Linked DNA regions of Stegostoma tigrinum. The main gene of each other region encodes a partner of the protein of the gene in region 2 in a complex. Links are inferred from orthologs where the notes say so. Each region holds a gene or a part of one and is shown on either strand. Other genes may lie near its edges.

Region 1 (15,084 bases), on a different chromosome or scaffold from region 2:
ATGAGAAATCTTCAATTTAATAAAACATCTAAAAGCATTTAGGAACATTAATGAAGAAAATGTGACATCACATAAGATCTCAGAACTGTTGCAAAAGGGCTAAATAATTGCCTTAAAAAAAGGAGAGCGATCTAGACAGTCAGTGAGCATTAAGGAGGGAATTCCAGGGTATCTGTAGGCGAGACCACAATTAAAAGCAATTAAATATCAAGCAGGCAGAATGCCAGTATTGGGAAATATGTTGAGTTCTTGGATTTGTGGGTTTGGAAGATTTACAGAGATAGACAGAGTGCAGACATAGAATACAGGATTAAGAATGAAAATTTAATTAAAACAAAAAATGCTTTGCCAGCCTGGAAGCCAAAAAAAGGTAAGCGCAAAGGTGACAGAGGAACAAGATTTGATGCAACTGGTGTTAGGGAGACCAGACAGGAAAACACTAGTAGAAATATTAAAATGCATGAATGATGGTTTCAGCAAACAAGTTGAAACAGGACCACAGACCATTATGGAAGTGAAAGCTGCCAGCCTTGTGTTAGGGACCAAGTGAATGGGTGGAAGTTTATCTTAGAGTTGAACATGTCGTCCAGTTTATTACAAGTCCTCTCTACCATTAAGTGGAGAGATCGAGTCAGTAGTTAGGGAAATGGACTTTTCAGAATGGGCTGATAAGAATGACTCAGATTCACCACATAGATAAATAAGACAAACTATCACAAGTTGCAATTCACACAGGACATTTGTACATTAATCAAAAAATGAAAATACTCCATTCAATTTTGATTTGGGAATTTATCAAGGATGGCCAGATCATATTTCAAATGTTAATTTGCTTTGTGGTCCAAACATGTTCCTAAGTAAATATGGGAACAGGCACAAGCAGCTGATATTATGTAAAATAACTGATTTATTTAGACCTCTCTCATCACAGCCTAACAAGCAATTTATTTTGAAGTAGGCACAAAAGACCAATGTACACAGAAACATGCTTGCTAGAATTGCCAGGAGATAAACATGATCTATAAGAACATTCCTGCTCTTCTCCCAAAACTATTGGAGCCGAAATATCTACAAGAGAGCAGCTGGGGCCATCATTTAAAGATTGATCCAAATTGCAATGAAACACTGCACCAGGACTCTAGACTTTGACCTCAAGCTCCCCAGTGGGTTTTGAACCCTCACCAGATGCCTCAGAAGAAAAAGCACAACCAGTGTGTCAGAGACTAGTAAACAAAAAGAATGAACTACTGCTGACGTCCCAGTTATCATCTTGATGGTGAGCCATTCCTGAATCTAAAAACATGACAAGATAGTTTGCACAACATGCATACCTTTCTCTTTGTCGACTCGGATTACAACAACACATTCATTTCTACCAATTCGAATCAGTTTGTTGATAGATCGGATACGCCTTCTTGAAAGTTCACTTAGAAGAATCATGCCTTCAATGTTGTTATATTCTAGAAGGCTGACATAGGCACCCATCTCCGCAATGGAGCGGACATTTACCATCACCACATCTTCTACCTCTGGAAACTTGTGTTGGTAAAACCGACAACTAAGAGCTGGCATTCTGAAATATGCAGAAGAAATCAAATTACACTTTGGTATTTCACACCAGAAAGAGCAGACAATGTATTATCGCTAGACTGCGTAAAAATGTGCAGAACCAACAGAATTGTAAAAGAATAATCGAGGAGAGGATAAAACAATAAGAGATCTTAAAAACCCACCACGCAATTTCAGTTTAACTGTACATATAGCTCATTTCAGCCTGGTAACTTCAAGTGAACAAAAAAAGGGAGACCAACACCCAACAATATTAAAAAAATTTCTTTAATTCAGAAGATCATTGCAGAATGCTTTAGATTCCAGAGAATGTGCTTTTTGAAATGTTGAAGTAATGTATAAAAGCATAAAACAAAATTTTCTTTTAGTTAATCCAGTTACTTCAGGAAGTTTGAGATAACAAGGTATACAGCTAGATGAACACTGCAGACCAAGCAGCATCAGACGAGCAGGAAGGCTGACGTTTCGGGTCTAGACCCTTGTTTACAACTCTGCTGAATACTTCTGGATGGTGTTCAGAATTACTTCATATTAAGGAATGGCACAGAATATATGTTTAAAATATGCTGGCATCCCACTTCCATGAAGTGGGATGAGTTCAATCAGTAGGAAGTTGAGCTAAACAAACCAGAAAGAAACCAATCATTGGCTGATCAAAGCATAAAAGCACATCATGTCCTACAATTTGTATAGGTAGAAGCTGGTTTTTTTTGAACATGCACCATCTCTGGTGGATGCAGAATACAGGATTTAGAGGCCTAGTTGAAAAATTAGATCATAAAAACTTAGGAGTGAAATCTGGAAACATTTCCAAACACAAAGTGGCAGAAATTGAGAAAATTTGGAAATTGGTGCGCAATCAAATATGCATGTTAAAATGGGAACTGACAGACTTTTGTTCATCAAAAGTGTTAAGGGAGGTGAGGCAAAGGCAGGAAATAGATCACAGATCAACCATGATCTCAATGACTGGTGAAAAATGATCAAGAAGCCTCTTCCTGGTTGTATCAACATATATGGATCAGACAGAGCAATGTGCTGTCTGCTCAGTGCAAAATAATGGGATTTGTACGATGAAACGTGTAGTTCATATAAATATTAAATTCTGGGACTTTGATTTCAAAACAGAAACAGGGTCAGTTCTGTGAACATAATCATTTTAAAAAGGGCAAAAAACTCATTTGGATTAGCAGCTAGATAAATGAATTAAGGCAACGTGTGACTTTAATCAAGTGCCTGACAGAATCCCTGTGATGTTAATAGATGAAACATTTATACTGTTGTGTTTACAACTAACCAGAAAGCCATCAGTTTTAGTTTTTGAGTTCAGTTCAAAACAGAAAACAATTTCTCTAAAGGTGGAGAATCAAGCTTTTCGTTCAAGGAAACAATCACTATAGCTGAAGAATTTAGTGTGTGGTGCTTCCAATTGAGAAGAGCTTGGATAGAAATTTCCAAGTTGATAGAACAGAAAAAGTTTAGGTTATCACAACTGGGAGCAATTCATGTCAGTAAAACTATAAAACTTCCCCTATGATCTGAGGGAAAGAATTTAGGAGGAGTTAGTTAAATAACAACTTAAGATTTGAGATAACAGTGAAATTTCAGCTGATTCTATCGATATAGTACTGAAGCTTGAATATTGTACATTGCACTGACTAGTGTTTTTACGTGAAATTTCTTTGTTAATGGTGAGGGAAAGAGTTAGAGAGAATTTGGAACCACAGGAATTTACCTATGAAGGTGTGTTTTCATGACCTAGCTTACTGCTAGAATAATTGAAAATCATCCCATTAGTTACACTTATCCTCAAAATCTCATCTCTTCTAATACTTTTCCCTTCCATTAAAAGATGCACTGGCTTCTGCTTTCACTGCTCTGTGTCAGAGCAGGGCAAGTTCCTGCAAGTTTATCCTAACTTGCCGAACTCATTTCAATTGATGTCCTCCTACAACTGACCCAGATTTTAAAACAGCTGTTGGCCAAATTGCCTCGCAACCCTTCATAATTTTAACCTCTTAGTCTTCTCTTGCTCAGTGGAAATGTTTCTGAACTCTCAAGCCTAAATTCTCAAAAAGATGAACACCAAATCATGAGGTCACAGAATGAAACAGAGCAGAAGAGACTGTTCAACCCATCGAGCCTGAACCAATACTGGCGGTTAGCCCACAGTCTTGAACGTTCTGACATGCCAAGTACTGAACCATGTACTTGTTATAGCATGGAGGCAATTTGTCTCTACCACCTTCCAAAGAGGCACATTCCAGACTGTCACCACCCTATGGATAAAAGATTTTTTCCACATATCTCTCAAACCTTCTGCCCTCACCACTGACCCTCCAACTAAGGGGAACAGTGGTTCCTTATCCACTATATCCATGCCCTTCATAATCCTGTACACGTCAATGAGATCGCCCTTTAGTCTTCTCTGCTCCAATGAAAACCCAAGCCTATCCAACCTTTCCTCATAATTCAAGCTTTCTGGCCCACAAGGCCAGTGCAAGATGCCAAAACAAAACTACACTTGTAATACAACAGATCAAGCCCTGGTGCTTCCATGGGAGCAAAAAGGCAGAGTATTCTGACAGCAAAGTTTCAGATGTAAAAGATGCCACTAGAAGCTGGATTTCCACTGGGCCCACAGTTTCAATTTTACTCCCATGAGGCAGAGTCTCACCTTGATTAAACAAGGCTGCAGACTGCCATTCCCAACACAGAAGAAGCCAAGGGACAACTTGCTGATAGGACCATGCATATGAATTGAATTCCATTAATTCCCCAGGATATAAAGAAACAAGACTGGACACCCTGGTGGAAGGCACTGTCCCTACTTCAGAGCCAGGAGGCCCAGCTTCAATCCTTCAGATGTGTGTCATAATGTATCTGAGCAGCTTGATTAAAATAAAGTACCACAATGGGACTCTTAGGAGGTACCTACCTCTAAGTCAAGGTGTGGGCCTAGGTTCTATGTGTGGAATGACATCTCTGAACAGATTGATTAGAAGATATCAACAGTACTAATAAAGTTTGATATTGACACTTTGTAGGAAGTTTCCAATCTGCCATTGGAGACTTGCACATGTAATTATTCCAACACCAAACAAGAAATTACAATGGAGCCATGAATCAACACCTAAGAACATATTTTGAGGCAGGCTTCAGATGTCTCAATAAACTTCAATCAGAAATCAACAGCAGCCTCCAGCCAACACTAATTGCATATATCAGTTCAAACTGACAATTAATCTGACCATTTTTGTGACACAACTGATACTTCATGGTACAATTTTCATTTCAATGCTATTTTCAATAATGATCATCTGTACTTTATTTCATGTAAATAGCTTCAGGACAAGGATTCAGATTTGGACAAGGCTAATAAAAAAAAATATCTATCTACAAAGAAATTAGAAAACTGAAAAGCAGTCAGCAATAATGCAGTCATACCTCATTTGAATACTTCATCCTACTCGTGACATAATGAAGATCTCTTTAAAACTTTAATTCCAAATACCTAGTCTGACAGAAGTATGAACTTCAAGCCAAACCTAGTTCAATTCCTAAATCAGCAAAGATAGAAAAGAAATTCCTTGATCACGAAGTGAATATTAAGGCCTTTCATCCCTTGGGATTTCACTTTAAGAATGATGCAATCAAAGTACCTTCCATCTGTGAACTTCAAGAATCCTCAGTTTAATCACAGTGGCTGTAATTATTTTCTAATCAACCTGTTCGTGGAATACCTCTGGAACAGATGGGACTTCAACCTGGATCTGCTGGGTCAGAAGTGGGGACATCACCACCCTGGAAGCTGCCACATTCCAGGTGGTAGCTTTAAAGTGGAGTGAAAAATGGCACGAGTGATAGAAAGAGGCCGCACAAAAAAAACACACAGAGAGAGAGAGAGAGAGAGAGAGAGAGGCCCGGATGGGCCCGCAGGTGAAGCCCGAGTTGAGGAGCCGACATGACCATAAAACATGCTGGCATTGGGCCGGAATCTAGATCCGCCTTAACCAGCGAATCAGTGGCGTGGGGGGTGGACTGCGGCTCCCGATATGAGGACAGCACTGGGACTCACTTACTTGAGCAGAATCTGTAGGCAGCGCTGCTGCGAACGAGGACGGTCAGCACCTCAGGCCCACACTCCGACTCGCGCTATTTCCGTTGTTCCCACAATTACTTTTCTACGCAGGCGCGACGCCGTTTTCCGTAACTGTTACGGCGCACGCTTTATTCTGCGCAGGCGCGGCAATGTTTATCCTCACGTTGCACCGCAGAATCTGAGATAACAAGGTGTACAGCTGGCTGAAGAAAACAGGCCAAGCAGCATCAGAGGTGCAGGAAAGCTAACGTTTCTGCAGCTCCTACTATCTCTGCACCGCAGAATCTCTCGTGCGCAGCGCAAGTACGTCCCTTCGCCAGAAACCCCGCTTCTGCGCAAGCGCGGAGCTGCGACCTGAAGCCGAGAGGAGGGCGGAGTGAAACGTCACTCCAAGTAACCTTGGAAGTCGCGATCGATATCGCGGAGCGGCCTTGATTTGTAGCATTCATTCATTAGACGCGACTCACACACATTGTGCTTTTGCACGATAGCTTTGTTAGGTTTTCGCTCTCTAGTATTGACGGAGGACTGGAAATGAAGGGGCAGCCGGGTGTAACGACGTGTCGCCGCCATCTTGGTAAAGGATCGTAGATAGTTAATAACAGCGAGATAAAACGGTGAGATATGGAATTGGCGAAGCAAACAGCAACACTAAGAGATACTTCATTTAAAAAAATTAAAATCCCCATCTAGAATATTTGGACGACGGTTAACCCGGTGGTGAGGGAGGTCACAGGTCACCTCCGCCCTGTCACGTGATGTTGCCAGCTGCTGATCCGTGGAAACCAACAATTTGCTCGAGTCGACCGAAGAAAGTTAGTAGAAAATTATAGGAGGAAGTAGCCCCACTAGGGCTTAGCCTTACAACCTGCTGAAGGTCACGGGACACTCCTTGTCGATTGCAAAGATTTTCATCTTTTCCACCAGCTATTGGATCTTCCCCCCCCCCCCCCCCCCCACCTCAAGAAATAGCCAAACATGTCAGGCAAGGAGAGGATTGAGATCTTCCCATCGCGAATGTGAGTGTCAGATTTTTGATTACGGTTTTTAGCCATCTCAAGTTTGACTTTTGCTTTAGTGCTCCGACCTGGAAATTTTAAAGTTTAGCATTTTAAATTTTGGCTCAGGTGAAGGGCTGTTGGAATGAAACTGCGTTTAAAAGTGCTGGCCCATTTCTTCCTGAATCATCGAACTATTTCCAAATAAAGGAACTTTTACAGTCGAAACTAAATAAAAATTGAGAGTGTCAGTCGGAGATTATAACACAGACAGATAATTAATGCAACGGTGCCCAATTTGCATGACAGATTCCAAAATTTCGCAATCCATTATTGGATCAAAATTGGCATTGCAATTAGAAATCTCTTACAAAAAATGCATGAATCACTACATATTGCTGAATTTTTAGGAACGTGTTGAATACAATAACATGGAAAGACAAACTAAACATTTGTTTGTTTAGCTGCATTGTGAAGATTTTTGAAATACATGTCACCCTCAATGGCTACAATGTTCAAGCTGATTGACTTTTGATTTTTGAAAAAGGTAGACAATAAGGGATGGGTGTCCTCTAAACAATTTTTATTAGACATACTATATAATACACCAATACTTGTGAGATTATGAAATGGTAATAATTCAAACATGGTAGAAATAATTATGAGCTCTTCTGCAGCTGTGGAATACTTTATTGATAATTAATGTTGCCAGAATTTGGAATTCACCCACAGCACATTGTTTCCAACTTTTACATTCTGTCTGATTTGGAAAAGTTGGTATTGTTACGTTGGCCATCTTCACAGCCCCCTTTACCAAAATTATTTAACTGCCATACATGGGAATAATTTCTCAGATGCATTGTTGTAAAAGTATAGCATATAGTAATTGTCTATACTGATAAGTGGCCATCCACATGCTGTGGTAGCACACCTACAGAGGAGGTGAATTCAAACCGTACTGCAGGATCTGAAATGTAACTGATCTAGTGTTTCAGCAGAATAATAAAGGGGTGCTGCATTGTTGGAAGTACTGTTTCTTGAATGGAATAACAGTTCAGGCTTGTCTGCGAGTTCACAAATGCGGGTAGTTCTGGCTAGTGTCCTGTAATAATCACTAAAAGCAGATGAGGTAGTCTTTTGATAATGGGAACTGCAGATGCTGGAGAATCCAAGATAACAGTGTGGAGCTGGATGAACACAGCAGGCCAAGCAGCATCTCAGGAGCACAAAAGCTGACATTTCGGGCCTAGACCCTTCGTCAGAGAGCCCGAAACATCAGTTTTTGTGCTCCTGAGATGTTACTTGGTCTGCTGTGTTCATCCAGCTCTACACTTTGTTATCTGAGGTAGTCTTTTAATTTCCTATCCATAAGTAAATTATAGAATCACTGATTCCATAGTGTCTGTACCAGTTCCTGAAAGATCTAGTCAGCTAGTCCTGTTCTCCAGCCCTATCTCCAAAACCCTAAAAGTTCCTGTCTTCCAAATATATATCCATCTGTCTTTTGAAACCTATGGAATCTGTCTCCACTGCACTCCCAGAGAGAGCATTCCAAATCCTAACAACTGAATAAAGAAGTTTCTCCTCATCTCACTCCTAGCTGCCTTGCTGACAATCTTGAAATTGTGACTGAGCCATTGACATACTAATTAGCAGAAATTTTGAACGCCTCAATAACGTCATATCTTAATCCTCTCTGTTCAAGGAGAATACGCGCAATTTATCTAATCTTGCCTTGTGTCTAGATACTCTAATTCCTGTTATCAATCTGGTAATATAAGATAACATGGTGTAGAGCTGGATGAACACAGCAGGCCAAGCAGCAGCAAAGGAGCAGGACAACTGACGTTTTGGGTCTCGAACTGAAATGCCAGCTTTCCTGCTCCTCTGATGCTGCCTGGCCTGCTGTGTTCATCCAGCTCTACACCATGTTATCTCAGATTATCCACTATCGGCATTTCCTACTATCTCTGCAGTCATTTTAGTAAACCTGCTTTGCAGTGTCCCCAGGGCTTTAGCATCCTTTCTTAAATAAAGTGCCCAGAATTGAACACACTACTCCAATAGGAACAGGAATAGGCCATTCAATAAGACCATTGCCTAACTCTATATGTCTGCATTGGGCCCATATCCCTTGACAATGTCCAATTTAAATTGACAGTTGAATTAGCATTGACTGCCATGTGAAGAAGAGAGTTCCAAAGCCTTCTACTGTGTGCAGAAGTGTTTTCTAGCGTCTCTCTCTTGAATGGCCTGGTCCTATTTCTTAGACTATGCACACTGATTTGAGAATGTTCCACTATTGGAAATAGGGTTATCCTGTTTTTCCCTGTTAATGTTCCAAAAACCCCATCTTGATCACCCCTGAACTTTCTAGGTTCTAGAGAATAAAGGTCTAATTTGTCCAACCCCTTCTCGTAACTGAACCCCTGAAATCCAGGTATCATCCATATAAATCTGTGTTGAACTACCTCCAGCACCAAGACAATGTTCCTAGGGTGGGGTGCCCAAGTCGGCTCTCAGATCTCTAAGTGGGGTCTGAGGTTTTGTATGACGGTAGCATAACACTTGCACCCTTATACTCCAGCCCTTTGGATATGAGGGCCAGCATTCTGTCAGTCTTCTTGACTATTTTCTGCACCTGCTCATAGCATGTGAAAGAGCTTTGACAATAAGTCCAAGCTGCTTTGATACTGTCATGAGAATGTGAAAGGGGCCATATTTAACATCTAACTCCTTTTACTTGATGTCCTCAGTGACCTTTTTTAATAGAAAAAAAGAACATTTTGGAATAAATATTTTGTATAAACAGTTGTGTGTACATTGACACCAGGAACTGGTTTGGGGGAGTTTAATACGTGATAGAATCAGGTAGCTGAACAAATTTCCATAGCCAAATTTTCACTAAGTCTGGACAACTCCGTTATATTTGTTGCAAAACTCTACCTCATGGATTCAATTTAAAAATGGTGCTGTTGGAACACAGGTTTTGAAAATTGAAAAAGGTTTTTGACCTGAAATATTTGGTTTGGAGGGAATAAATCCTTTTGTTCTACATGTTGTTAATCTGTCATATTAAATATTGTTGTGCTCGTATTGCATTTGTAAGATATCCAATTGAATGATTGATGTCAAGTATGTTTGTGTCGTGAACTGGCCCAAGTTAAATATTTCCCTTAACTGTTATTGAACTATTGTCCAGGTTTGGCTCAGACTTGGAATTATTCATCCATTCTTAAAATAAAATTGAAGTCCATCTGCTTGGTCATTGTTATAAAACACCTTTTTGAGGCAGGTGAGACTTAAACCTGGGTTTTCTAACTCGGAGGTAGGAACATTACACTATACTACCAGACCGCTCCATCTATTTATTTAGCAAGCTAAAGCCATTCATTGTTCCTCTTTTTAGAAGCATAAATGCTTCCTACGTGCACTGAAGCAAACAGGCTCTTCCCATCTTTATAAAGAGAAACATGAATGACCTTTTCTTAACACATCAAAATGAAAACTGGGAGCAAAAATGTCACGTCTTTCTGTCAGTGGAAGGGTTCCTGCTCATGCAAAGAAATGAGTGGGCAGAAGAAGTAAACCTAACCTTTTTTTGCATTTGCCACAGGGCACAAACTATAATGAAGGCCCGTTTGAAAGGTGCTCAGACTGGTCGCAACCTACTGAAGAAAAAGTCTGATGCCCTTACACTTCGCTTCAGACAAATCCTGAAGAAGATTATAGAGGTGAAATTTATTTTCAAGGAACAATTATAATAAATTTAACTAAACCTTACTATTTGGTTTTTCTCCTAAGCTCACAACACACATTTAGCAATGTTATTGCAGTTTTTAACACAGCAGTCCTGCTCATTCATTGTCAGTTCTATTTGATTTCTACTTGTGTTCATTTAACCACACTTTATTTATGTGCACGATATCTTGGCTATGTTTTGTGCTGTCAACCAGGGAAACAGAATCATCTTGTTTAGTGAAGTAGGATGTCACGAGAAATGCAATAGATGATTACAGTCTTGACCCCCAGCTCAATGTATTTTGCTGTTGTACAGGGTGTGAGCATTGTTACCAAGGCTGACATTTGTTGTATATTGTTAATTGCCTTTGAACCCTTGATCTGTGTGCCCATCTAGGTCATCTTCAGTTAAGAGTTAATCACAAAGTTATGTACCAAAGAGACAGTGTAGGCCAGTCATGGTAAGGATGGCAGATTTCCTTCTTAAAGGCTGTTAGTGAATATGGGTTTTTACAAACATTGTCTATTTTGACACAGTTCCCATTAAGCTAGCATTAAATTCTAGATTTTGATTTTAAAAAAACACAATTCAAATTTCATTATCTGTTATGGTGATATTCAAATCCATGTCCCAGAATATTAGCCTGCGGCTCTGTTGAATGGACGTGTGGCATTACATCACCGTTTTCCTGATTAGATGTTTCTGTTGAGCATGCGCACTAAGGTGGTATAATGAGTTGCACACTTCTTTGTGGCCAACGCGCACGCACACACATTGGCAGAGGATTGTGGGGGCAGGTCATCTTGAAACATAGAAAATAGGAGCAGGAGAAGACCATTCTACCCTTCGGGCATGTTTCTCCCTTCAGTATGATCAAGCTGATCATACATCTCTGCTTGAATTAGAATTAGAATCCCTACAGGGTGGAAACAGGCCCTTCGGCCCAACAAGTCCACACCGAACCTCAGAACATCCCATCCAGACCCATCTCCCTATAACCCACCTAATCTACACCTCCCCGAACCTATGGGGAATTTTGCATGGCCAATCCACCTACCCTGCACATCTTCGGACTGTGGGAGGAAACCGGAGCACCTGGAGAAAACCCACTCAGACACGGGGAGAATGTGCAAACTCCATACAGACAGTTGCCCGAGGCGAGAATCGAACCTGGGTCCCTGGTGCTGTGAGGCAGCAGTGCTAACCACTGAGCCACCATGCTGCCCTTGCTTGTGCTTTCTCCCCGTACCCTTTTATCCTTTTAGCCATCACAAACTAGATCTAACTATCCTTCTTAAAAATATATATCTTAGCCTCAATTGCTTTGTGCGATGGAGAATTCCACAGGTTCACCACCCTCTGCACAAAGGAATTTCTCTTTATCTATTTCTAAATGGCTACATCCTTTGACCTCTGCTTCTGGATTCCCTTCTTGTGTTTACCCTGGCATGCCCTGCTCGAATAGGTTCCTATGAAATTCCACTTATTCTTCTCAACTCCAGTGAATACAGTCCTAACCAATCCAGTGCCTCCTTGTATGTCAGTCCTGTCATGCCAAGAATCAATCTGCTTAACCTGCCTTGTACTTCCTTCATAGCCAGATAAGGAGACTAGAACTGCACTCATTACTCCAGATGTGGTCTCACCAAGACACTGTGGCATTGCAGCAAGACGTGCCTGCTCCTGTACTCAAGTCCCCTTGCTATGAAGGTCAACACACCATTTGCCTGTCTCACCACCTGCTGCACCCAGATACCTACTTTCAGCAACTGGATCCAGATCTTGTTGGATCTCCCCCTTTCCCAGTTAATGCCATGCATTATTACATGTAGTTCCCTCATTTAAATCATGGATATATATTGTGAGCGTCAGGGGCAAAGGCGCTGATCCTTTGTAGTACGGCACTGGTCACTGGCTGCTACTTGGAAAAAAGTTCTGTTAATTCCAACTATGTTCCCTTTCTTGTATCTAACAACTGGTTTTCTGTCCATGTCTGTACATTACACCCGGTCCCAAACGACTTAACTTTACACGCTAATGTCTTACTGTAAAACTTCTGAAAGTCCAAGTTAACTGCATTCAGTAAAGTTCCAAAAGATTTGTCAAGCATGATTTCCCTTTCATAAATCCATAGTGAACTTTTTCCAATTCTGTCATAGTTTTCAAAGTTCTGTGCTATTAAATCTCATAATGACTTCCAATGTTTTCCGTATTACCAATATCAGCCTAACTGATTAGACCCTGTGTTCCCTGTAGGACATCACGGAAAACAGTGAATATGTTAATTAAACTAAGGCAAATGGCAGAAAATGAGGGCATCCTCGCAGATTTTTGGAAATTACTATTTCTATTATATAATCCATAAATGAACCAGGCATTTTATTTTCAATGAAACAAAAAAAACCTTGTAGCAAAATGAAATCAAGACAGTCAAACCCTGTGTTTCAGTATAATGTGGCACTGCTGACTGATACATTTTGCATTATTTTTGGTTTTCACATCTCAGACTAAAACACTGATGGGTGAAGTAATGAGGGAAGCGGCCTTTTCCTTAGCTGAAGCCAAATTCACTGCTGGAGACTTCAGGTGAGACTGCAGTTATCAAAGATTTCTTTGTAGAGTGACCACCTTCTTATCTGTAAATGAGGCTTTGGGAAACCAGTCTTGGTTGTTGGTGTTTGGAGACTATTGATTTGGTGACTTGGCTGCCCTTCACTTGCTCCATGGGAGCAGTTAAGGTATGAAAAATTGTTATATGCTAAAAGGGACCGTTAATGCATGTTAGATTCTTTCAATTGCTTATAATTGCAGAGTCTATTTTGTACTTTACATGCACATGCTGAATTTGAAATATTCTTGACTGTAAAGGTTGCTCATTAAATGTGCATGATTAAGCTTATAATTATCAGCATTGGTCCATTAAAATTAACATAATTTTTGATCAAATAATGTTAGGAATTTGTTGCCTAAAATGTAAATTATCAGATAATTTAAATCCATTAACTTCAAGTTAAATAGATTAGAGTTTTTGGGGCTCAGTGGTTTGCACTGCTGCCTCACAACGCCAAGAACCCAGATTTGATTCCAGCCTTGGGTGGCTGTCTGCGTGGAATTTGCACATTGTGTCCGTGTATGTGTGGCTGCTACTTGGTACTCCCACAGGCCAAAGATCTGTTGGCTGATAGATAGGCGACAGTAAATGCAGGGTTATGAAGAGCGGGTAGGGAACTAGTTCTGAGTGGGATGCTGTTCACAGGGTTGGTGTGGATTTGATGGGGTAAATAGTCTCTTTTCGCACTGGAAGCATTCTAGGATTCTGTGACCAATATTTGCAGAGTGTACAGTTGCTGTCTCAGCCGAGCATCCATTGACCACAGCATAAATTTAAAATCTTTATCCAGCTACTGAAAATGGTTAATTATATACTTGATTTGTATTAAATTTAAAGTAAAAGATCCATCAACCGGGTTCCTCTGATAACAACATTATTGCTTTATTTTGAAACGAGACTTTTCAACAAGGTGTAAATTGGATTAAAACACAGAATGAAAGCATAAGTATTTGCTCCTCTAAATAACCCCTATGCGTGCATATCAATTAAAGGAAAATTATTTTCTCAGCAGAGAATATTTGACTAATGTGGTTCTCTTTATTAAATTATTAGTTGGTTCTTAAAGGAAAAGGAAGGACAAAGTATGAAATGCTGAAATAGCTTTTAGTCAGTGGTTTAGTGCACACAGGCAAGAGTCACTAAATGCAGGCAGATCTCACTGGGACCTTTGCAGATGCAGTTCATTCGGGCAACGTAAAGAGGTTGATCTCTTATAGCAGTGGACTCTCTGGTTTGGTAGCACCTGTTAGTGAACTGTACCTCGACTGAACACCAAACAGTATCAAAAACAAACTAAGATAACAAAGTGTAGAGCTGGATGAACACAACAGGCCAAGCAGCATCAGAGGAGCACAAATGCTGACGTTTCGGGCCTAGACTGTGTTCATCCAGCTCTACACTTTATCTCGGATTCTCCAGCATCAGCAGTTCGTATTATCTCAAAAACGAACTAACTTCTGACGGCCGTAAGCCCATACATGTGACATCCAATAATTAAGACCATCAGTTAGTTTAAGGCATGTGACTTCCAAGAAGTGTCTTAAGAAACACCCTGATGCCGTTTGGTGATCCATTTTATTTATATATAAAATGTGTGTGTATATTGTACGTATGTACAAAAAAAAGTTCAAATATATTGACAGACTTTTCAAATGAACACATGTCTGCTATCCTTCAAACATGAATCTTCAATATTAGTTATGAAACACCTTCATACTTACAAAGTACACACAGACTAATGTTGCCACTAATATACTGGTTCTGTTCTATGCAGTACTACTGTGATCCAAAATGTGAACAAGGCACAGGTTAAGGTCCGAGCTAAAAAAGACAATGTAGCAGGTGCGTTTTTATGGGGTTTTTGGTATCATGTTTCTTTTGTGAGTTGTTTAATTTTGTAACTTGGATAAGTATGACATTTGGAACAGGATTTGCAAAGAAATCCAGTTTGATAAACCAGCCCTCACACTTAGATTTCCAAAAATACATTAGAAATTATACAAATGATTTAGACAGTGTAGGAGAGTGGTCCAGGAAATGGCTGATGAAATTCAATGTGAGT
Region 2 (15,274 bases):
TAGATAATAAAATGTGAGGCTGGATGAACACAGCAGGCCCAGCAGCATCTTGATGCAGCTGGACCTGCTGTGTTCATCCAACCTCACATTTTATTATCTTGGATTCTCCAGCATCTGCAGTTCTCATTATCACTGATACAGTTTTCTGTCTAAACCCTTCTTCAGAATGGGGGGAGGGGAAGAGGGTTCTGAAACAAATAGGGAGAGGGGAGGAGGTGGATTGAAGATGGATAGAGGAGAAGATAGGTGGAGAGGAGACAGACGAGCTAAAGAGGCAGGGATGGAGCCAGCAGAGGTGAGTGTAGGTGGGGAGGTAGAGAGGAGACAGGTCAGTCCAGGGAGGACAGACAGGTCAAGGGGGTGGGATGAGGTTAGTTGATAGGAAATGGGGGTGCGGCTTGAGGTGGGAGGGGGGGATAGTTGAGAGGAAGAACAGGTTAGGGAGGCAGGGAAGAGTAGGGCTGGTTTTGGGATGCGGTAGGGGGAGGGGAGTTTTGAAGCTTGTGAAATCCACATTGATACCATCGAGCTGCAGGGCTCCCAAGTGGAATATGAGTTGCTGCTCCTGCAACCTACAGATGGCACTGCAGGAGACCCAGAATGGACATATCATCTGAGGAGTGGGAGGGGGAATTGAAATGGCTCACGCCTGGGAGGTGCAGTTGTTCAGTGCGAACCGAGCATAGGTGTTCTACAAAGCGGTCCCCAAGCCTCTGCCTGGTATTCCCAACGTAGAAGAGGTTATAACAGGCATAGCGAATACAGTATACCACATTGGCAGATGTGCAGGTGAACATCTGCTTGATATGGAAAGTCTTCTTGGGGCCTGGGATGGAGGTGAGGGAGCAGGTGTGGGGGCAGGTGTAGGGCTTCCTGCAATTGCAGGGAAAAGTGCCAGGCCTGGTGGGGCTGGAGGGGAGTATGGAGTGGACAAGGAAGTCACAGAAAGAGTGCTCCCTCCAGAAAGCAGACAAGGGTGGGGAGGGGAAAATTGTCTTTGGTGGTGGGGTCGGATTGCAAATGGCGGAAATGTCAAAGGATAATGCGTTGGATCCGGAGGTTGATAGAGTGGTATGAGTGGACGAAGGGGATTCTTTTGGTTGTTATTGCGGTGATGGGGTGTGAGGGATGAGTTATGGGAAATGCGGGAGACACAGTCAAGGGCGTTCTTGACTACTGGGGGGTGGGTAAGTTGCAGTCGTTGAAAAACTAGGACACCTGAGATATACAGGAGTGGAATTCCTCATCCTAGGAGCAGATGCAGCAGAGGCAAAGGAATTGGGAATAGTGGATGGCATTTTTTTCAGGAAGGTGGTTGGGAGGTGGTGTATTCTCGGTAGCTGTGAGAGTCTGTGGGCTTGAAATGGATATCGGTTTCTAGGTGGTTGCCCGAGATGGAGATGGAGGGGTCCAGGAAGGTGAGGGAGGTGTTCGAGAGAGTCCAGGTGCCTCCCAGTCTACAGCTACCTAAAATACACCTCCTCCCACCCACCTTCCTGCAAAAATGCCATTCCCCTATTCCCAATTCCTTTACCTCTGCCGCATCGCTCCCAGGATGAGGAATTCCACTCCCCTACATCTCAGATGTCCTCATTTTTCAAGGACCGCAACACCCCCCCCCCCCCCGGCAGTGGTCAAGAACGCCCTCGACTATGTCTCCCACATTTCCCGCTACTTATCCCTCACACCCCGTCCCCGCAATAACAACCAAAAGAATCCCCCTCGTCCTCACATACCACCCCACCAACTTCCAGATCCAATGCATCATCCTCCGACACTTCCGCCATTTGCAATCCGACTCCACCAATCAAAGACATTTTTCCCTCCCCACCCTTGTCTGCTTTCCGGAGGGACCACTCTCTCCGTGACTCGCTTGTCTGCTCCACACTCCCCTCCTGCCCCACCATACCAGGCACTTTTCCCTGCAACCGCAGGAAATACTACACCTGCCCCACACCTCCTCCCTCACCCCCATCCCAGGCCCCAAGATGACTCTCCACATCAAGCAGATGTTCACCTGCACATCTGCCAATGTGGTTTATTGCATTCACTGTACGTGTTGTGGCTTCCTCTATATTGGGGAGACCAAGCGGAGGCTTGGGGACCACTTTGCAGAACACCTACACTCGGTTCGCAATAAACAACTGCACCTCCCACTCGCGAACCATTTCAACTACCCCTCCTATTCCTCAGATGACATGTCCGTCACGGGCTTCCTGCAGTGCCACAACAAAGCCACCCAAAGGTTGCAGGAGCAGCAACTCATATACCGCTTGGGAACCCTGCAGCCCAATGGTATCAATGTGGACTTCACAAGCTTCAAAATCTCCCCTCCCCCTACCGCATCCCAAAACCAGCCCAGCTCATCCCCGCCTCCCTAACCTGTTCTTCTTCTCACCTATTCCCATCTCCCACCTCAAGCTGCACCCCCATTTCCTACCTACTAACCTCATCCCATCCCCTTGACCTGTCCGTCCTCCCTGGACTGACGTATCTCCTCCCTAACTCCCCACCTACACTCACCTCTACTGGCTCCATCCCCGCCTCTTTGACCTGTCTGTCTCCTCTCCACCCACCTTCTCCTCTATCTATCTTCGATCCGCCTCCCTCTCTCTCTCTATTTATTTCAGAACCCTCTTCCCCTCTCCCATTTCTGAAGAAGGGTCGAGGCCCGAAATGTCAGCTTTCCTCCTCCTAAGATGATGCTTGGCCTGCTGTGTTCATCCAGCTCCACACCTTGCTATCTCAGATTCTCAAGCAACTGCAGTTCCTACCATCTCTAACACATACATAGATATAGGCAGGGGTCAAGGATTGATGCTTCTGGAACATCAGGGATAGTGGTGTGGAAGTGGAAGGGGAATGTCATTTAAGCGAAATGGGGGTCAACTGCATCAAAGCTGCAGAGGGATCAAAAAAAAATAAGCCCGATTGGAGGGCGTCAATAATAAATTTTGGAAAAAATTGGCAGGGATTCAGAAGGCAGCAAAATGTTCAAGGATCAAACAGCATAATAAGGTGGAGGATGGGATGGTTATTAGCAAGGATAATGCGGTCAAGGTTTTGTTTTAAGAGAAATGATGGCAGATTTTTTAAAAAGACAGGAGGAGAGGAGGGGGCGACAGAGGGGGGTACAGACAGTGAGGCAGGCAAGCGTACAACACCAGGAGATAGAGCAATTAAAATGCTGGATAGCATGGGGATCAAGAAGGAAGTTCAGCAGTTAGTTGTTTAAAGGTATTAAGATTGAGGCAGCAAGGGGAGTCTCATGGACCAGTTAAAGAAAAAGTGCACGACAGGAGATAGGAAATAAGTTTGTTAGAGAAGTGATTTTGGACAAGGGCAATTTATTAGATGGTCTTGATTAGAGTGGCAAAGTCCATGAGTTCCCCATATTTATTGCTATAGGCTAGAAACCAGCTCAGGCACATTGTGACCCAGTTTTTATGACCAAAACATGACAGTAACTTCCAGGGGCCTTTCTAAAAAAATCTTCTCAACAGTGATAACTATGTTTTAACATGATAAATGCATTTATCTACTTCTGTTCTGTATAACTCTATTACTCTGTAATGAGCTGCCAGAGGAGGTGACGGAGCCAGGCTCAACCACAACATTTAAAAGGCATCAGCATGGGTATGTGAATGGGAAGGGTTGGAGGGAGATATAGGCCAAATGCTGACAACGAGGTCTACATTAGTTTCGGATGTCAGGTCAACATGGGCAAGTTGGAACGAAGCTTCTGTTTCCATGTGGTATAACTCTACTATGACTCTACTTTACATAGAAAATGTTTATTATTATTCCTTTTTCAATGAGCAACACCACAGCAGACCCAATGAAATTATTTCCTTCTCTTTTTATTCAGTTTCCATAGGTTTAAACTGGGGAAACAAAAGTTTTAACACAAGGGTCCTGAGTTCTTTTTTTTCATTAAGTTAGTTCCTTTAACTTTTGTTTTACTGCTTGGAGTGAAAGTTACATACCACATGACCATTAACACTAACTACAAGCTTTCTAGAATTCAACTGATATGGGAGGTCTACTTTAACTTAATCATTCAAATCAAACAAGAACCAACTACTTTGTAAATTACTTGATGCAAAAACTGAGTCCATTAATCCCAAAAGCAAATCAAAGAATTAATTTTTTTTTGTCTGTTTGTGGATTAAGTACACATACATTGCTACCAAAGTCTACCCCGAAACCGAAAAAGATCCACAAGTATAAAGCTTCAGACTCTATTTCAAAATGGAGGATTTTCAAACAAAACAGTCAAACATAGTGAGACAGTTCACAAGGTAGAATTCAAGTCACATCCATTCTTATAAAAATATTTGCAGTCATTTCAAATTAAACTTGGTTTACAAGTTCTCAAATATTTCTAGTTACACTAGATATTTGGATGTTAAATTTGAACATAAATATGAAGTAGAAGCAGAGTAAGAAAAGTTGCTCCAAGGACACTGTCCCATTTAATTAGATGATGGCTGATCTAATTACTCCACCTTCACATCCACCCCAATAATATTTCCGCCCCCTTACTTATCAAAAGTCTATCAACCTGAGCCTTATAAATATCCAAGGACCCTGTTTTTCACCACCCTGTCAAAGTCTGGAGAATCCATGACCTTCTGCTACTAGAAAAAATTCTCATTACGTTCCGTGTGTAATGAAAATCATTTCCAACATTCTGTAATAAGAATGTAACGCTCAGCCAATGGACAACTCTATGAATTGCTGGGTGGCAACATTTCACTCTGCCCAGCAACAGTGACACTATTTATAATGAGATTTTCAATTGATCATTTAATACAATTCCAGAGTCACAGGCTGATGGAGACAGACAAGAACAGAAATGTTCTACATTGTTAAAGGCAAGAGAACGACAGACTTTGCGTAGTAAAGGTTCAGGAATACCCTGGAGTAATTGCATAGCTCAGTGCAGCAACTGCTTAGGGAAGTTCTGGGAGACACAAGGGGCTCACACAAAATTATGCCCTATGAAAGTCAGGAAAGCTGAGAATGGGTTGAAAAGGCCACAAGCAGTATTTTGTTGGGAAAACTGTACAAGATTAGAGAGAATATAGAACTCATGGAAAAATCCAGTGGCAGTTTACATTTGAAGACGGTTGACAATGAAGAGCTGGAGTCATGCTTGTGACTAAGTTCTGGAGCGACATTTTGGTGTCCAGGGGAGAGGAATCTCAGGAAAGGAGAATTCACAAAAGCACATTCTGTAACTGAGGTAGGCTATGACTAAGCAGCCTTTGAGCAGGTACTTCAAAAACCAGATGAGCAAAAGTGAAGAATTGTGAAACCTTGTGAAGTTTATTGGATTTGATGATCCACAATGTCATTATCATCAGGTGCAGGGGAATTGCTGAGAAATCTATGGCATCAATCTTGATCCTATTTACTATCTGATGTGTGCTGCCTGGTGTAGGATCATAGTTTATTATCCAAAATCCTCATGTGATTTCTGAGTGTAGGAAAGAACATGTATTGCAGGGCAGTTGCTTCCCATATCTTTTCCTACTGTGAGCCCACTTCAAGGCTTGAAAACTGCTGAAAGCTTTTGGAGAAAACTTAGAACTGGAGAAAAACTAATAAAGCAAAGGTGGGGAAAGAAGACCTGAGAAACAGAGGATCCCCACAAGCAGTCATTGCTGCCTTGAAACTTGCAACCCCTATTCAGCTCCTGATCCACACTTGCAAAATGCACTACGGTTGCTACATTGTAAAGTTTATTGTTGCTTTTCAAAACCATAGAGTCTTGTGGCTTTATTCCCTTACTAAGTCGACTGCATCTTACATTTTGAGCATTTAAACATAAAGTTACTGATCCTTAACCAGATCTTAACATAAACTTCGGCAGTAGAGGCCAGAATTATAACAACTATGACAACACAAAAAGACAGCACCTACCTTTTGTGGGTTGATTTTCTTATTCTCGACATCTAAAATAAACAAACACAACGCAGCAAAAAAGTTAGTGAGTTTAACGTACTTTTCATAGATAAGATAATAAGATCAGTCATTTTTACTGGCTTTTATGACCTTGTGTGCTTTAGCCCTATTACTTCGCCTTACTTTGAAATTCTTGGAGGAAATGTTGAAGCCAAGGAGAATAATATTAAAAATCTTACTGATATCATGACTCTCATCTGATGGCTGTTTTTAATTTCTGCTACATCAATTATATCATTTGGTGGTTTATAATGTTGTAAACTGGATTACATAGGATACAGACAAAAACAGGCAATTCAGCCCAACCAGCTTGTGCCAGCATTATACTTTCTCATTTATGAGACAGCAAATGGTAAAAGGGTTGAGAACATATTTCAGCACTGGCCAACTATATCTATTAAACATGTTAATAAAATGTGACCATTTTCCAAATGTCACACTTCTAAAACAGATCTGACTGAATATACTTCTAATTTTAAATAAAACCATTAAATAAAGACAGACCTTGAACTTGCTTCAGGCAATTAACTCCTGATTTTACTTTTGTCCAAAGTTAACATTCTTAACCCACAAGTTAATACAAGGGATACTGAGTTAGATACTGATGGGGTCACAATCTTGGAAGGTGTCTGCATCTCAATTTGTCTTCCACTTTCTCCAAAAACCCACACCAGTTGAACTTCCTGCACTTTGTTTTTTCATACTTATCTTCATTATGTTGTTCCTTTAATGATACATACAGTCCTTGGGTCTTGCACGTCTTTTGTTCTCAACAGGTTTTCTTTTGCCTTACAAGTATGTCACCCAAACATCTTTTGTCCCTCTGGCTAATCACCTCACAGGGAATTCTTGAACTTTTTCTGTATACATCTAGGTATTTCAACCACAATACTTCCTGCCGTCAGATTACTCAAATATTAACTTTACTGTCATATATATACGCCCTGACTAGCTGAGATTTGCTAATATTCTTCTGAGTTTTTCACTTTTTTAATGTAGATTGAATTGTACAAATTGCCCTGCTCACCAAAAAGGACAGGAATAATACAAACATGCAGAAATTGTTGGAAAATCTCAGCAGATCCAACAGCATCTGTGGAAAAAAAGCAGAGTTAACATTTTGGGTTCTGATGAAATGTCACTGGATCCAAAATGTTAAGTCTACTTTCTTTCCTGCAGATGTTTTCGGCTTTGCTGAGCTTTTCCATCAGTTTTTGTTTTTGTTTCTGATTTCCATCATTCCTGGTGGAAAAGATATGAAAATCATCAATCAATCTCAAGCTTCTGCTGCTGGAATTTAGAATCATAGAGATGTACAACACAGAAACATGACTCTTCAGCCAACCAGATATCCAATATAAATCTAGTCCCATTTGCCTGAATTTGGCCCATATCCTTCTTAACCTTTCCTATTCATATACTCAACCTGATGCATTTTAAATGCTGTAATCATACCAGCCTCTAGCACCTCCTCTGGCAGCTCATTCCATACATGCACGACCCTCTGCATGAAAAAGTTGACCTTTAAACCTATGCCCTCTAGTTTTGCACTCCCCCACCCCAAAGAAAAGATATTGACTATTCACCCTATCCATACCCCTCATGATTTTATAAAACATCGATAAGGTCACCCCTCAGCCTCAACACTCCAAGGATAGTAGTCCCAGCCTATTTAGCCTCTCCTTTGAGTTCAAACCCTCCAACCCCAGCAACAACCTTCTAAATTCTTTCGAATTAAATTATAAGGCTCTAAGATGAATAACAGTCACACATAACAAAATGGGTATGTGTTACGGGGCTCTTCGCAGACGAAAACAGAAATGAACATCTTGGAATTAGCAAAACCAGGAGTCTCAGGAAAGCAACATATTCTGCGTCGCGGGAATTGCATCAACTTCCGGTGATAGAATTACACGAGGCCGCCCAACAATAATTCTTTCAGTAAAAGCTCAAGACTTTCTTGTAATTGTAATCTATCCCTTCTGTTGAATAACTTAAGAGTTAATCGAAGCTTACCCGGAGCAGAAGCTGCGCTCACGCTGCTACCCGGAACGCGGGGACACACTCTATCTCCTTCAGACATTCTATACACTATGCGTTACTGCGCCTGCGCATACCCCTCTCTCTGTCTCTGACACCTCACCCCACCCCCCCCCATCCGCGAAAGAGTGAAAAGTGGATACGTGCATGTTATCCACTATGTATGTTCCCTCTCGAATGTGGACTTACTGACATTAAAAAAAATAGAAAATGCTGGGAGTACTTAGGGCTAGCAGCATTTGTGTTGAGAAAATTGATATTTATGTTGCTGACCTTCCATTGACCTTACATATTAACAAAACAATGAACAACACTGAAGAGGAACAGGCCCTTCAAGCCTGCACCAACACATTTTGCCCTTCCATACTAAAACTGTCTTCCCTCTATTCCTTTCCTATTCACAAATTCATCCAGGACTCCCATGAATGCTGCTAGGCTACATCCTAATAAACCTTTTTTTTACCCTCTCCAAAGCTTCAACATCCTCTGATAGTGTGGTGACCAGAACTGTGTGTAATTTTCCAAGTGTGACACAACTAAAGTTCCATAAAGTTGCAGCATAACTTATCTATTCTTGTACTCAACACATCTTCCAATTAAGGTAATCATGCTGTAGACTTTTTATTAACTTATCTCCCTGCACTGCCACCTTCAGTGATCTGTGGGCCCACACACCTGGATCCCTCTGCTAATTAATACTCCTAAGGGTCCTAACTCACCCAAAGAATGTAAGAACTGGGTCAGAGATAACATAGGTTGGACCTGGAGAAACACAGCAGGCCAGGCAGCATCAGGGGAAGATTGACATTTCAGGTCGGGATCTTTCTTCAGAATTTTGAAGAAATGCCCAAAACTTTAACTCTGATTTTTTCTTTACTGATGCTGCCAGACCTGCTGAGCTTTTCCAGCAACTTCTGTTTTTGTTCCTGATTTACAGCAACAGTTCTTTCCATTTCTATTTGGTGAGATTTTAAAACTGGTAAATTCAAACCAGTTTTAAAATCTCCTAAACCCCTGCCTCCTTGACCTGACACAACCTGTCCATCTTCTCTCCCACCAATCCCCAACCACTCCCTTCCTTCACTCACCTATCACTTTCCCAGCATGACCCCCTCCTCTCTCTATTTATTCCTGAGCTCCCTTCCCCCTCCCCATTTCTGCGGAAAGGTCACGAGACCTGAAACATTAACTCTGTTTTTTCCTTCATAGACACTGCCAGACCTGCTGAGCTTTTCCAGCAACTTTGTTTCTGCTCCTGATTGGAAGCATCTGAAGTCCATTTGTTTTTTTTTATCCAGGCCCGAAACATCAACTTTCCTGCTCCTCTGATGCTGCCCAGTCTACTGTGTTCCTCCAGCTTCACACAGTGTTATCTCCTAAGGATTCTGACATTCACTACGTGATTTCCACCTGTATTTGACCTTCCAAAATGCATCACCTCACATTTGCCCAGATTAAACTCCATCTGCCACTTTTCTGCTCATGCCTCTGATCTATATCCTGCTGTATTCTCTGACAATCCTCCTAACCATCCACAACTCTATCAATCTATGTACCATCCTCAACCTTACTAATTAGACTATCTATGTTTTCCTCCAAATCATTTGTGTAGACCATGAACAGCAGAAGTCCCAGCCCTGATCCCTGTGGAACACCACTAGTCACAACTCTCCATTCTGAAAAACATCTTTCCACTACTACCATCTATGTCCTATGACTAAGCCAATTCTGTATCCAGAGATAATGGGAACTGCAAATGCTGGGGAATTCAAGATAACAAAGTGTGGGGCTGGATGAACACAGCAGGCCAAGCAGCATCTTAGGAGCACAAAAGCTGACGTTTCAGGCCTAGACCCTTCATCAGAAAAAATGATGAAGGGTCTAGGCCCAAAATGTCAGTTTTTGTGCTCCTAAAATGCTGCTTGGCCTGCTGTGTTCATCCAGTCCCACACTTTGTTATCCATTTCTGTATCCATTCTGCCCACTCACCCCAATACCATGTGACTTCACTTTTTGCATCAGTCTGCCATGAGAGACCTTGTCAAAGGCTTTACTGAAGTCCATACAGACAAAATCAACTACTTTTCCTTCATCAAGCATCCATATCACCTCGTCAAAAAACTTGATCAAGTTAGTGAAGCATGACCTCTCATTCACAAAACTATGTTGTCTATTACTAATAAATTATTTGCTTCTAAATGCATATTACTCTTGTCCCTGAGAATCTTTTCCAATAATTTCCCCACCACCACCACCACCTGAATGCAGACTGTTTTTCTCCACAAGCACTGGTATTTCTGGCATTTTTCTTTCATGTTCAGATTCTGAGCAACTACAGTACTTTGCTTTTGTATTTAATCTATATTATTGATTGGATGCGGGACAGTTGAAATATTTTCAAAACAGCTGCTGATAAAACTAGATGGGAGTGTTATAAGATGGACCCAAGGGGAGTTTAAGTGTTCTTGGATTGGCTAAGTGAATGGGCAAGCACATGGTAGATGGAATAAAATATGAAAGTGTGTAAAGTTATTTACTTTAATTAAAAAAAGGCAATATTTCATAAGTAGTGAGAAGCTGGTAAGTGTGGGGACCAGGATAACTTTATTTACGGGTCACAAAAGCTAGCATGAAGCAACAATCAATAAGAAAAGTAAACTGTATGGTGATCTTCATTTTGAGGGTATTGGACTACCAATATCTAACTGCAATTGTATAGAGGCTTGGTGAGACCACAATTCAATTATTATGTGTGGTTTTGGTCTACTTATCTCAGGAAAGGCATAAGTGCCAGAGATGGTGCACGACACTTCATCGCTAATTATTGTGTCACCAACAGAACTGGTTACATGGCTTTCTATGATTGGTCATTATGAAATACTATTTTTTTAGACAGTCTGTCAAAAGCAAGGATGATTTTCCATCACTTCATGTGGCCAAAGATTGTGTTGGCACACTTGAGTTTGAATTTCATTGCTGATATCTGCCCTTGATGAAAAGGTGCTTCCAAGGTATGAGAATTGATCCATCCAATAGCTGACCATAAATGTTGATAATTGGAGGACAGCAGTTCATGACAGGAGCAGGTTGGTAGAAAATATTTTCTGATCAATCTGCTAAGAGATATAATGACATACTTCTAGAGCAGATAAGATTTGAACCCAGGTTTTGTTATCTTTCAGATGTTTAGCCTATCGCCTATTCCTCTAGTATTCTTTGGTGAGTGCCTGGATTGGAGTTCAGCCACTGAGTATGTGCATATGCAGGGACATCTGTGTACTGCAGCTCCATAACAGATATTGGGATTATGGAAAATAGAACATTACAGCACAGTACAGGCCCTTCGGCCCTCGATGTTGTGCCGACCTGTCATACCGATCTCAAGCCCATCTAACCTACACTATTCCATGTACGTCCATATGCTTATCCAATGACGACTTAAATGTACCTAAAGTTGGCGAATCTACTACCGTTGCAGGCGAAGTGTTCCATTCCCCTACTACTCTCTGAGTAAAGAAACTACCTTGACATCTGTCCTATATCTATCACCCCTCAATTTAAAGCTATGCCCCCTTGATTGTCTTGGTTCTGGATTAGAAGTAAAGCCATTTGAATAGTTTCACGTTCATCATGGGCAGAAGTTTTATGCCACTCGATGCAGTTCAGAAGGATGATGGCAAATATCATTGAAACTTCCAGGATACTGAGAGCCCTCAATAAAGAGGATATGGAGAAGATGTTTCCACAAGTAGTAGAGAGTAGTACCTGAGGGCACAGTCTCAGAGTGAATGGATGACTCTTTAGAACTGAGATAAGGTGGAATTTCTTCAGCCAGAGGGTGGTGAATCTGTGGAACTCATTTCCTCATAAGGTTGTGGAGGCCAAGTCAGTGAATGCATTTAAGACATATAAAAGGTTCTTGTTTGGCAAGGAGATCAAGTATAGGAAGAAGGCAGAGAATAAGTTTGAGAAATGTATCAGCCATGACTCGAATTCTGCTCCTATATCTTATGGTCTTATGGCATGTATCATGGATATGTGGTGGATTGTTAAAGCAAGGAAGATGGAGAAGAGCATTCCTTGTGAATGACCATCTTCCAGTTTGCACACATATTAGGTCTGCGATGGTTCTGTCTGGGAGGATGAGGATCATGTTTTGTGTCTTGTCATGCAGGAGAATGCTGACAAATTTCTTCAGATGACCAAAACTTCAGTAGGATCAATTGTTACATATTTTGTTTTGTCTCATAACCAATGTCCAAATATCTCAACTCCATAACTCTGAGTGCCCATGCCTAACAACAATCAATCAATTATAGATCCAGGGACCTGGGTTCAAGTCCAGTCCTGGTGAATGTCTGAGTGGAGTTTGCACATTCTCCCCGTGTCTACATGGGTTTCCTTTGCACGTCCTGGTTTCCTCCAATGGGCCAAAGATGTGCAGGTTAGGTGAATTGGCCATACTAAATTGTCCATAGTGTATAGGGTTTGCAAGCTAGGTGAATTAGCCATGGTAAATGTGGAATTGTGAGGCTATTCGGATATGGTAGGGGGCCTAGGATCTGGGTGGGATGCTTTTTGAACAGTCAGTTCAGACTTGATGGGCTGAATGGCCTTTTCCCACACGGTAGAGATTCTATGAAAATGCTGTCTCGTACCTGTGGTTTGGTGGAGTCAAAGGCTAATGTGAGGTTGCGGACAGTCATGTATGAATGTTCCTGCTGCCCTCTGTGCTTTTGTTTTGGACTTGTATGAAAATCACGTCCACTGTGCCTCATATTGGGCAGACTTAAATACAGTGAGTAGCACAGCACTGACTCTGGAGAGTGGGCTCATCTATTGTGACAACATTATAGAATTTTAAAAGAGATAGACCGGTGGCCTAGATGAATAGGTGGCAGACAAATTTCAGTGTCAAAAGTATGATGCAATACACATTGGTACAAAGAACATGGAGAGAAAGTATAAAGTAAGGGTACTATTCTAAATGGTGTCCAAGAGCAGTAAGACCGGGGTGTAAATGTAAGTCATTCGGGTGGTAGGTAGGTAGAGAGAGTTATTGATTAAGCATAGAGAATTCTAGTCTTAATTAATCGGAGATTAGTGTATGGGAGCAGGGAACCTAAATTGTAACTGATTAGACGTTTGCTGGAGTATTGTGTAAAATTCTGTGTGTCCTACTTTGGGATGGATGTGAACATATTTCAGACAGCACAGAAGATGTTTACGAGAATCGTTCCACAGATGAGAAGCTTCAGTTTTGAGGATTGATTGGAAACATTGGAACTGTTTTCCTGGGAGAGAAGGCTGATGGGAGATTTGACAGAAGTTTCAAAATTATGAGGACTGTGGACACAGTAGAAAGGAAGAAACTGTTCCCACTTGTAAAAAGATCAAAAATCAGAGAACACAATTTTTAAGTGTTTTGCAAAGAAGCAAATGTGTGGTGATGGAAAAATCATCACGGATCTGGGTTTGAAATGCACTGCCTCACGATGTGTTGGAGGCACATTCAGGCAAGGCATCCAAGAGGGCACTGGATGATTACTTAAAAATAAATAATGTGCAGGGTTTTGTGGAACAGGCAAGACTTTGTCACCATGTGAAAATGTTCAGAGAGTTGGTGGTGACATGACAGCCAAATGGCCTCTTCATGTATTGTAACAACTGTGTTTATGGTGGAAGAGTATCTGAGTGTCTTTGTTTACATTCCTTCATGGAATATAGAGGATTGTTGGTTAGGCAACCAGAGGGTAGTTAAGAATGAACCACATTGCCGTGGGACTGGAATTATGTCAGGCAACACTAACAGATTTTCTTCACATAAGGTCATTAGTGAACCAGATGGGTTGTTATGATAACTGACAATCGTTATACAGTTGCCATTTGGGGATAACTTTATTGAAAACAAACTCCAGTATGTGCCATGAGATAGTAAGAATTGCCAATGCTGGAGTCAGAGATAAGACAGTGTGGAGCTGATGGCGCACCTTCTGGCCTGAAATGTCAACTTTCCTGCTCTGCTGATGCTGCCCAGCTTGCTGTACGCGTCCAGCTCTACACTGTGTTGGATGGATTTGAACATGTGTCCAGAAACTTAGCCTGAGTTTCTGGATTAGTAGTCCAGTGACATTGCCACTTCAGGAGGAAAAGAGCATCTGTGTTGTAATATAGAGAGATTTTCTAACAGGAGAGGTTGTCTAGGGACAAAGTCTTTCCAGTGGTGTGGAAAAGCTCGTGCGCTGTGTCTGAACACAAGAAACAGGAGCAGGATCCATTCTCTCGCCCGGCCCCTGCTCCGCCATTCAATACAAGACCAGGAAGCATCCAATCTCGGCCTCAACTGCCCGCCCCACCTCCAAGCCCCTGACAAAAACGTTGACACCCTCACAATTAAAAACGCTTATCTCAGCAGTGCAGTTATTCAAAAGCTCAATGAAAACAAAACAGAGCTGGAGGTAACAGTGGGTCAGGCAGCATCCACGGAGAGAAAACAAAGCAACGTTTCGAGTCTAGATGACTCTTTATTAGAGCTGAACTTCACCAGCTCTGATGAAGGATCACCTAGACTCGAAACATTAGCTTTCTTTCTCTCCATGGATGATGCCTGACCCACTGTATCTCGAGCAGTTTTTGTGTTCAGTTTAGATTCCAGCATCTGGAGTCATTTTTTCCTCCAAAGGCTCACTGTCTCTGTGTGTGCGTGAAAGCTTTCCTTCGAGGTTTGCGCGGTTTTGATGTTTACGCGCTGAGATCCAAATGCGTGTTAAATTAAATAACGGCCAACTTGGCCCTGTGCTGCGGCCAGCACCGCCTGATGCCAAGTCGGGGCACTCACCGAGATCACAGCTCCGGCCAACTGGAGCTATCATTGTGTCTGCGGGGGAGACAGAGGTCAGCATCAAACCATCATAAAACCGAAATCACGAATAAATCCGTACCCAACACATCGCTCGCATCCAGATGGGGTTTAGACTCAACAGGTCGTAATCGGAAACGATTGTTTCCTTTTACGGAAAGAGCTGAAGAGTGAGTATTTTGTAACCATCCCTCTCCCCGTTCAGACTTGATAATGTCCAGACCTTGGCGAAGTCGGACTCAGTTGGGCCGGACCATTGTGTAAAAAGGGGGGAGGGGGTGACGTTGTTGTTGTGTGGATCACACGCGCCGCTGATACGTTATGGAGTTTGGGAACTTGGTGTGCTGAGAAAGAGCCCCGCCCCCATGTTGCTCACTCGCACGGACAAGATGGCGGGCGTAGGCT

Evidence for each region.
Region 1: the proteins of eif2b4 (region 2) and eukaryotic translation initiation factor 2 subunit 1 are in contact, whole or in part, in a cryo-EM structure (PDB 6O81), measured with the Homo sapiens proteins. The link is inferred for Stegostoma tigrinum from reciprocal best matches to the Homo sapiens genes EIF2B4 and EIF2S1. Residues at the interface, in NP_001029288.1 of Homo sapiens: Asn245, Glu246, Glu247, Arg250, Thr285, Ser520, Ser521, Asp522; in NP_004085.1 of Homo sapiens: Met30, Tyr33, Met45, Arg55, Arg57, Arg75, Glu79, Lys80, Tyr82.

What each region holds. Positions count from the first base shown.
Region 1 is NC_081363.1:69,338,561-69,353,644, forward strand, and holds the start of eukaryotic translation initiation factor 2 subunit 1, read right to left. Parts: upstream 5,948-15,084; 5' UTR 5,652-5,947; intron 5,423-5,651; exon of another isoform or gene 5,232-5,422; intron 1,574-5,231; 5' UTR 1,573-1,573; coding exon 1,332-1,572; intron 1-1,331. Other genes in the region: atp6v1d (V-type proton ATPase subunit D), read left to right, coding at 6,650-6,690, 10,286-10,403, 12,918-12,997, 14,797-14,864. UniProt on the Homo sapiens protein: Member of the eIF2 complex that functions in the early steps of protein synthesis by forming a ternary complex with GTP and initiator tRNA. This complex binds to a 40S ribosomal subunit, followed by mRNA binding to form a 43S pre-initiation complex (43S PIC).
Region 2 is NC_081357.1:46,067,330-46,082,603, reverse strand, and holds the start of eif2b4 (translation initiation factor eIF-2B subunit delta), read right to left. Parts: upstream 8,094-15,274; 5' UTR 8,054-8,093; coding exon 7,987-8,053; intron 5,961-7,986; coding exon 5,929-5,960; intron 1-5,928. UniProt on the Homo sapiens protein: Acts as a component of the translation initiation factor 2B (eIF2B) complex, which catalyzes the exchange of GDP for GTP on eukaryotic initiation factor 2 (eIF2) gamma subunit.